Linked DNA regions of Zea mays. The protein of the gene in region 1 binds, or shares a complex with, the protein of each later gene. Links are inferred from orthologs where the notes say so. Each region holds a gene or a part of one and is shown on either strand. Other genes may lie near its edges. The genes, in order: Nuclear-pore anchor and Nuclear pore complex protein NUP35.

Region 1 (3,820 bases):
GCATATTTAGAAGGGGTGTATAAACACTAACAAGTCATTTTAGTCCATATACAAAGAGAAATGAAAGTCATGTATAAAGTCGTGGTTTAGAAGCCCGGGTAGGGATCCACCCCAAGGAATGCTTCACGTAGCATCATTTTTATGGCTATGTGAAAAATGCTAGTGCTATTGGGATTCAGGAGGTGCAGCTCCAGCCCATAGTACCAACAAACACAACAGTTTGGATTAGATATAGCGGTCTCAGAACCCACAAGGATTCGCACGCAGGTCAGGGAACATTTAGTAAAAACCAATGAGACAAAATTCGTCGATCAATCTAAAAACACAAGGGTCTCTGTATCCCCATGAAGTTCGTCGATCAATCTAAAAATACAAGGGTCTCTATCCCAATGGACAAAATTATCCCTGCACGAGAAAAGACAATCTACTTTACTAGGACTGACCACGCCCCCCGCGGCCCCTTGATCCTCGACCCGTAGCATCTTTCTGCAAAACAAAGGCAGCCCCGAATCAGCTCAATGCTGGATATAAGCACCCAACTGAAATGAACAAGAATAAAGAAACCATACCCTGAGTGTAACAGATTGCTGGCCACGACCCCGAGCAGTGCCAGGTTGTTGTGCGCGTTGAAACCTGGTTTGCCTGTTTTGTCTGGCCCTCTCACTTAAGTTGATTGTTCTGGAACGAGTTTCAGCAGCCTCCACTACAGTACTGGTGTTCCGCTGTTCAGAAGACGCACCAGCTTGGGCTGGGTTAGAGGAAGGTTCACGTGCCTCTGTTGCAGTGCTAGTATTCTGGGGTCGAGAAGATGCACCAGCTTGGACCGGACTAGGGGAAGGTTCACGAGCAGGAGATGCATCTGCAGTTCTGCTTGGTGAGGCATCAGCTGCACCAGGTTGTGTTATAGGACTTTGGTCCGGTTCCACAGCAGCACGTTCGGCTGTAGCCTCACCCTCGATCTCTGACATATCAACGTCACTCTTGTCTTCAGGTTCCTCTGCCAACTCTCCCTCCTCCATGTCATCATCAACATCAGTTGCAGTAGTACGCTGAGCATCTTCCTTCGAATCTTCTGTTTTCCGGTCATCATCAAATGATTCAATTATTGCCTCTGACTTTGCCACTACATGCTCTTCTTCTAAAGGAATTGCATTTGCGTCAATATTAGCATCAGCATCCTGGCCTTTGATGTCCGTTGATGCATCTCCAGAGTCATCTTTATCACCCCCATCCTCTTCCCTTGTTGCCTCAACCTCTACCATTGGCTCAGGTGCCTGATCAGTATCGATCTCTTCTGTAGGCTGTTGTCCATCTAGGTCATCAGTGGCTGGAAGCACATTAACCTGTGCCGCTACATCCCCAAGAGGTGGTTGACCACTTTTGAGTTCACTAGTCCCTTGTGAAGATTCTTCCTCCTTGGGCTTCTTAGATGGAGGATTGACATCATTAGCCTCACCCTGCGAGGCACTGTCTACCGTCTGTGAAGATGTGATAAGCCGTTTACGACTCAAAGGCTGTAACACAGGTAAAATTCCAGAAGTTTCTTGCTCTGCTGGTGGCCCCCCTTTGTCCTGAACTGTGGAGGCATCAACAGCTGATATATCTGTATCAGCATGAGGTTCTTCAGTTCGTTCAAGAGTAGGACGAACAAGGGGTCTTCTTCCTCCAGGCCTACGTACTTCACTGCTTGGTTTGGGAACTGCTCTTTCTTCCGTCATTTTAGCTTTAGCTGGCCTTGACGAAGTATCTACTGGACGTCCTGCAACTGAACGACTTATCAGCTCCCACATTGACCGGAAGAGTAATGAATCAAATGTCATCACATAGGAAACAACATCAAATGCTTCAGAATGACTTATGAGTACTGAATCATTACAAAATGAATAGAATGGCAGCAATGTCAGAACAAAATTAATACTGAATCACCTCCAGCTGAAGTAGGTGCATCCACAGGGGCAGTTTCAACAACTGGAGTTTGAGTTGCTGCACCATCACGGAAGGGACTAGAAGATTCCTCCATATCTTTAGCTGCACGGAAGTATGAAAGAAGTTGCTCTTCTAGTGCAGAGATAGGTGGCACTTCAGATGATAATCCAGGATAATTCTGAAAAGAATGTGTTGTAACTTTCAGTTCTGATATAGAAGGACATAAGACAATGTTTGATGTATTCTTTTATCAAAGTTAGGGATCATTTAAACAAAGAGGAAAAATTGAAACATTTGTCCAGTAACTTGCCATAAAAAATGCATTCAAAAGTGTACCTCAATCAACTCTCTCACAGCCTGCTTATGCTTATCTATAGACTCCTCTACTTGTTTCTTGTCCTGTAAATCAATGCTCGCAATCAGTACTTCGATCGAAGGCAACCCACAAAAAATCAGGAACAATTTATAATTACTTCTAATTTTAAAATATATAGTTTTGAACAAGGACAGTCAAATTTGCAACTTGGTTCCTATGTTTCAGAAAAACGGTAACATAGTTCCTCTCTTTAGAAAATGTAAATAAAGTCTTAGTTTGTCCTAAGTCAAACTTCTCTAACTTTGACAAAGTTCATATAGCCGCCTTTCACCTTTTGACAATCTGCTGCACAAAAAATCTTAGTGTTTGGGCTTCCAAGCGTAACCTCAAACTTACCTCACACAGCCCCAAATCAAAGAAAACTGCCTAACCCCAGCAACCCCAATTCCAGGAACAAGGAGTTCGACCTTGTTGTCCACAGAGGGCAAAGCTTGGTGATTGAAGGGATCTAAGGCAGGATGGACGAATGGTGGTGCAGGACAGAGGTAGACATCCTATCGAGCTATTCAGCTCATCCTCCAGTGTCAGCCTTGACTGAGGGTGGAGAGAGGGAGCAACAGTATATGGAGTGGGTAGAGGAATGTTACGTCCCGACGAGTCAGCGGCGGCGGCGAGATGAATTCCAAAAGAGAAGAGGGCGGAAGAAGGCAGAACGGAAGAAGATAGAGGTATGTGGAATTTGGTATTCTGTTATTTCTATTTTCTTAGTTCCTTTACAAGGCACATCCTTGCCCTATATATGCCTACCCCCATCCTTAGCTTCCTCTGTGGTAATGAAATTAAGCTGAGTAGTTGCTGCAATCTGACTGTTAGACTATGTGTGTGTGTGGGCTGGCACCACTGTTGGGCTGCCGGCCCATTAGGGTTAGGGTTTCTTGTGAGTCTATATATTGTACCCCATCTCCTATGCAATACAACAAGCATTCCACATTCCAATATGGTATCAGAGGGCTAGGTTTCCCACGCTTCCCTCCTACAGCCGCCAGCTCATCCCAACGCCCAAGCCGCCGGCCACCAGCTTCCGCTCCGCCGTCCCCGGGAGGTCCCCAGTCCGCCGGTCCAGATCCACCACTGGCGTGGGCGCGGACCTCCGCGTCTGTCCCCCTCCTCCGCGCTGGCGTGGCCGCGGCCTGCCCCCCTCCTCCAGCGCGGGCCCTCTTCCCCCGGCGGAACCGGCCACGGAGCAGCGCGGCCGCAGCCTTCTTCCCCGGCCATGGCGCGGGCTCATCCCTGAACGTCGCCCCCTCCTCCGCGCTGGCGCGCCGCCACCCTTGGTGTGCATCGGCGCAGGCCCTCTTTCCCTGGCGGAACTGGCCACAGAGCCGCTCGCGCGGCCTTCTTCCCCGCCGCCTCCCACCTCCAGTCGTCGGCCAGTGCCTGGCGCACCTCCGACAGGTTCCTGAGCGCGCCGGCCGTGGCGGGCTGGGAGACGGAGTCACCCGTCCGGCAGATCTCGACGAGCGGGACAGCGCCGTCGTGCCCGACGACCGCGCGCGCGACGCGGACAGGCGGTGCAGC
Region 2 (4,383 bases), on another chromosome or scaffold:
TTTGGGACGGAGGGAGCACTGTATTAGTTTAGGTCTATTCTCAGTGATGACTATCTGTTCGCATCTACACGTCAAACATGAAAATGTGTGAATAGAGCTGTTAATAGTTACCTGATACAAGATATGCACCCAGTTCGCATCCCTTGGACCAAGAACATGTCTCAAGACTATCCCACACTTCTCAAATTCTCGCAGCACCATGTTAGTATCACCAGGAAAAAATCTGAAATAAAAAAAGAGATGGAATGGAAGACTAATAAAAAATGGAATAAATTATAACACTAAAACACCATTAACATCCAACCATCACACCCATTCAAGCTATTCAGATGTTCAGAGAATCAAGCGCGCAAGGGCATTCTGGTGGTGGTGGCTTATGGATAGCATGATTTTTCAAAAGCACATGATCAACCAAAGTTCTCTGCTTCAAAATACTAGGTGTATTATAATTTTAGAAGCAACTTTATAGATTTTGACGAATGATTACTCAAATTATATGTATGCTTAGGGTTAGTTTGGAAACTTAAATCTCCTCCGGGATTCCCGGAGATTGAGTGGGAAATTAGCTCATCCCCCCCCCCCCCCCCCCCCCCCCCAAGTCCCCGGGAATCCCGGAGGGGATTAAAGTTTCCAAACTAGCCCTTAGTAAATAAAAGTTGCATCAATAGATTCACATTTGAACAAACAGATTTTGAAGCAATTGATGACATAATGTAAGAGTAATCCAAAATCAACATCGAAGTATGCTTCTAAATATTTTCCCCCAAATCCTAACACACCTTGTAAACAGAAATAGATAAGTGTAGACACCTGTATTTCAAGTTTCAACATTTAGGGTACCATATAGTGCAGCAGTGCATGTAAATGTAGGTGAGAAAATAGAATAAAAACTAAATCAGTACAAGAGGGGAGATCCTAAAACTGTATGATTAATATTTGTTGGGATTTTCCTCTCCTAAGTTTGAAAAACTGTGCACTAAAAAGTAAAATCCCTATATATAATGCATGTTTCCATTCCCCACCAACATGTAGCCAACTTTATCAGTATGACACTAACAAAAGGTGTGCTTTATCATGGGAGAGGATAAGTGGATAACCAATCTATTGGATATGAGCATTGTGTAACTCTATCACATGGGAAAAGAAGAACATGATCTGATAGAAGGCACATCAACAAACACCATTGAACAAAATATGAAGTATCCTGGTTTAAAACTGATACTAGCAGAATCTACTAATAAACTACCACATCTGTTACAAATTGTAAGTCGTTCTGGCTTTTATAGGTACATAGATTTTGCTACACACCTACATATGCAGTATGTCAAGATACATAGTAAAATCTATGTATCTAAAAAAGATAAAACAACTTACAATTTGGACCAGAGGGAGTAGATTAATACCCCTTGACGTTATTGTTCTAGGTTCGCAGACAACTACATTTATTTTAACCCATGAGGCATGATCCAATTTTCACATGCTACCTTCAACACTAGAGAGCTAGAAGCTATCAAAAGTGCCACAAACTCAGCAAAAAATTCCACCAATCAGCGTTGAACTCAATCACGTCAATAGCCATACTCTAGCTTCATCATTAAAATCACCAAAAGTAAATCAGACCTTATCGATTCACAAATTTGCAAACCCGACCAAGGGGTGAGAGTACCGGTATTATGTCCCAACATGGCTAATAAACCCAAACTGCAAACATGCCGGCACTCGAACTCATGACCTCTAAAGTTCCTCATAGTAACTTGCTTGTCAAAGATAAAAATCCAACATATTAAATGGTTAAAATGTATTTTCAATTAGGAAACTTAATCTGTTGGTCCCTGTTTAGACAATGTTGGTAATGTAGGCATCAAAATCATCTTGTACCCTACTGTACTATGTTCTCTGAATCTCTGGAGTTATGTTGGGGGTAAGAAGTCCATAGACCGATGATATAAAATTCTTGGAAATCTGCATGCTTATGTTCAAAGGGGAACTCTCTGGCAGCATCAGATGAGTGTTTAAGAAACATTACCAATTCCACACGCACAGATGCCATAACCAGCCTCTAAGCGTACTGTACTATACTAATCTAATTACAAAACGAAACATAAAACTGTATGAATCTAATGCAGCAGATTATTATACAATAATCCACACATCCTACCATACCCATTGCATCGACTTAGCTGGGGGCGAGGCAACATACCCGAAAACGGTGACCCACTCCTCCTCGTCGACCCGTCCAGCAGCCGGAGCCGAATCTCTGGGCATCTCCGGCCGCGCCACCTCCCTGGGGGGCGGCAGCGTGATCAGCGCTACCTTCTGCTGCTGTGACTGCTGACCCGACGGCGTCGTCGGGGACTGCTGCTGGTACTGCACGACGCCATCCATCGGTGATCCCTCCCTGGGATTCTCCTCCCTCGAGGGGGTCCACCATGCCGAGGGCCCCGGCGAGCCGTTGGACCGCAGCGGCGAGGAGAAGAGAACGGCTCCACGCGGGGGCTGAGGCGAGGGGGTCGTCGTCGCCTGCGGAGGCGTGGCCGGCTGCCTGGAGGGGGAGAGGTGGGAGAGGTCGTCGAGGGAGAGCAGCGGCGGAGGCGGCGGCGGGGTGGAGGCCTGCGCCTCTCGCCGCATCGAGGCCGGTGGGAGGCGAAACGACGAGGAGATCGGGGACGAGAGGTCCCGCAGGAACGGCGGGTGGCGGCGACGGTGATCCGGCCTGGAGGCACTCATGACGGTGGCGGAGAGCTGAAACCCTAGCAAGAGAAAGCGGAGTTCCACTGCCGAGTGCGCCTTGGGTTTTTGGAAGCCTCACGTGTGTGAATGTGAAGAGGCAAACAGAACGCTTGTGTCACCAACATGTGGACCCTAGAACTTTACAGGTCCCACATGTCGGAGTGCTGGCGTTTTGATTCTCGGCTCTACTCGAAGGCGATGAAGAAATTAAGAATACGCCAGGCTCCTTGTCGCTCGTAAAATGGAGGTCGCGACGGCGACGGAGGCGTCTGCGCCGGCGGCAAGCGGCGGCGCGGCGGGGCAGGGCCACCCGTTCCCGTGGCTAGACGCTGCCATCTCTGAGCCCTACTACTTCCTGCATCTCCTCGCCTTCTTCTCTTACTTTGCGGCCCGCAGCGCGGCGCTCTCCGCCGACGACGGAGGGGAGCTCCACGACCGCCTCCTCCGTAGGGTAAGCTTCGGAGATCCCCGTGTGCCCGATCCGGATCGTGTCATTCGGTTGGTTGTTGAGTTGTGTTGGCTCATCCGCTCATGCGAATCGGTGTTGATGTGCTTGGTTTTGCAGGAGATCCAGGCAGTGCTCGTGTTCCTGGTGCTCTTCGTAGTGAAGGTGTGATGATCAATTCCAGCTAGAATTCTATTGCGAGCTTATTTTCTGAGTAGCATGCTTGGATTTGGTGTTAAAATTGGTGGGAGTAGCTGTTCTGTTGCTCTAAAACGTGGATTGCAATGCTGTTATGCGTGCCTTCATATTTGTTATGTTACACGGATAAGGACTTTGGGTGTTTCTTCTATCTTTTGCATTTTATAAACCAGTCAACCTGCGACTTGAGATGTTAAACTTGATGTCTCAGTAAATTTTAAAACAAAAGGGTCACATTGTTAGGCGATTGCATGGATTGCTTTTGTGGTAGAATTAGGTTTGCTATGAGGTTAGATTGCATCATATTGAAAGATGCAAGATTCGTTGAAGTAATAGCAATGCAGGTTGGTATGTGAGAGACAATGTTATGCTATTCCTTGTGGGATACTTTCTCTTATTGCAAATATGCATATAGATTTGCTTGTGCCTTTATCTTTTTGCCATTAGAAGTCGATTATCCACACACTATAGGAATTTCTTGCTATTCCTTGTGTGATACTTCTCCATATTTATGGCAAATATGCATAGAGTCCCAAGTACACCTTATCTTTTTTTCTTTGCTCGAAGTGGATTATTTGCATGCTCGAGGAATGTTCATTGCTGAAGTTCCACATTGATTCGTAAGAAAAGAAATTTTCCTAGGTGGATTTTTATTATTTTTGTGCTTCGTTCTCCACATGCTCAAATGCACAATCAGATTATCACAATATTTATTTTGGAGTCTATTTTGGTATGGCTTGATGATTGTGTAAAAGCTCGTGATGATGTATGTTTTACAGCATCTCCAACAGTGACCTAAATGAGTGCCTCAAATTAAAATATAGGGCTTTTTCTAAAAAAAGTACTTCAATCGTGCCTTATTTTAACAAAAAATGTCAAAAAGATATAGGGCAACAGTTAAAGTGCCATAGATATATTGCACTTCTTGGGCTGCCTCGTCCTTGCGTTCTACCCAACTAAACATTCATGGAACTCTTCCCCGTCGCATAGAACCGGCCCTCCCTTCTCCT

Evidence for each region.
Region 2: Nuclear-pore anchor (region 1) and Nuclear pore complex protein NUP35 share a complex: the UniProt entries of both Arabidopsis thaliana proteins name them as parts of the nuclear pore complex. The link is inferred for Zea mays from reciprocal best matches to the Arabidopsis thaliana genes NUA and AT3G16310.

Annotation. Positions count from the first base shown.
Region 1 is NC_050099.1:187,942,325-187,946,144, reverse strand, and holds the end of Nuclear-pore anchor, read right to left. Parts: intron 2,326-3,820; coding exon 2,263-2,325; intron 2,105-2,262; coding exon 1,927-2,104; intron 1,766-1,926; coding exon of another isoform or gene 1,760-1,765; coding exon 570-1,759; intron 487-569; coding exon 433-486; 3' UTR 233-432; downstream 1-232. UniProt on the Arabidopsis thaliana protein: Component of the nuclear pore complex. Acts as a docking site for activities required for desumoylation and mRNA export. Required for the proper expression or localization of a subset of miRNAs.
Region 2 is NC_050103.1:23,275,341-23,279,723, reverse strand, and holds the start of Nuclear pore complex protein NUP35, read right to left. Parts: upstream 2,827-4,383; 5' UTR 2,728-2,826; coding exon 2,201-2,727; intron 224-2,200; coding exon 112-223; intron 1-111. Other genes in the region: uncharacterized protein LOC100274262, read left to right, coding at 2,972-3,181, 3,296-3,340.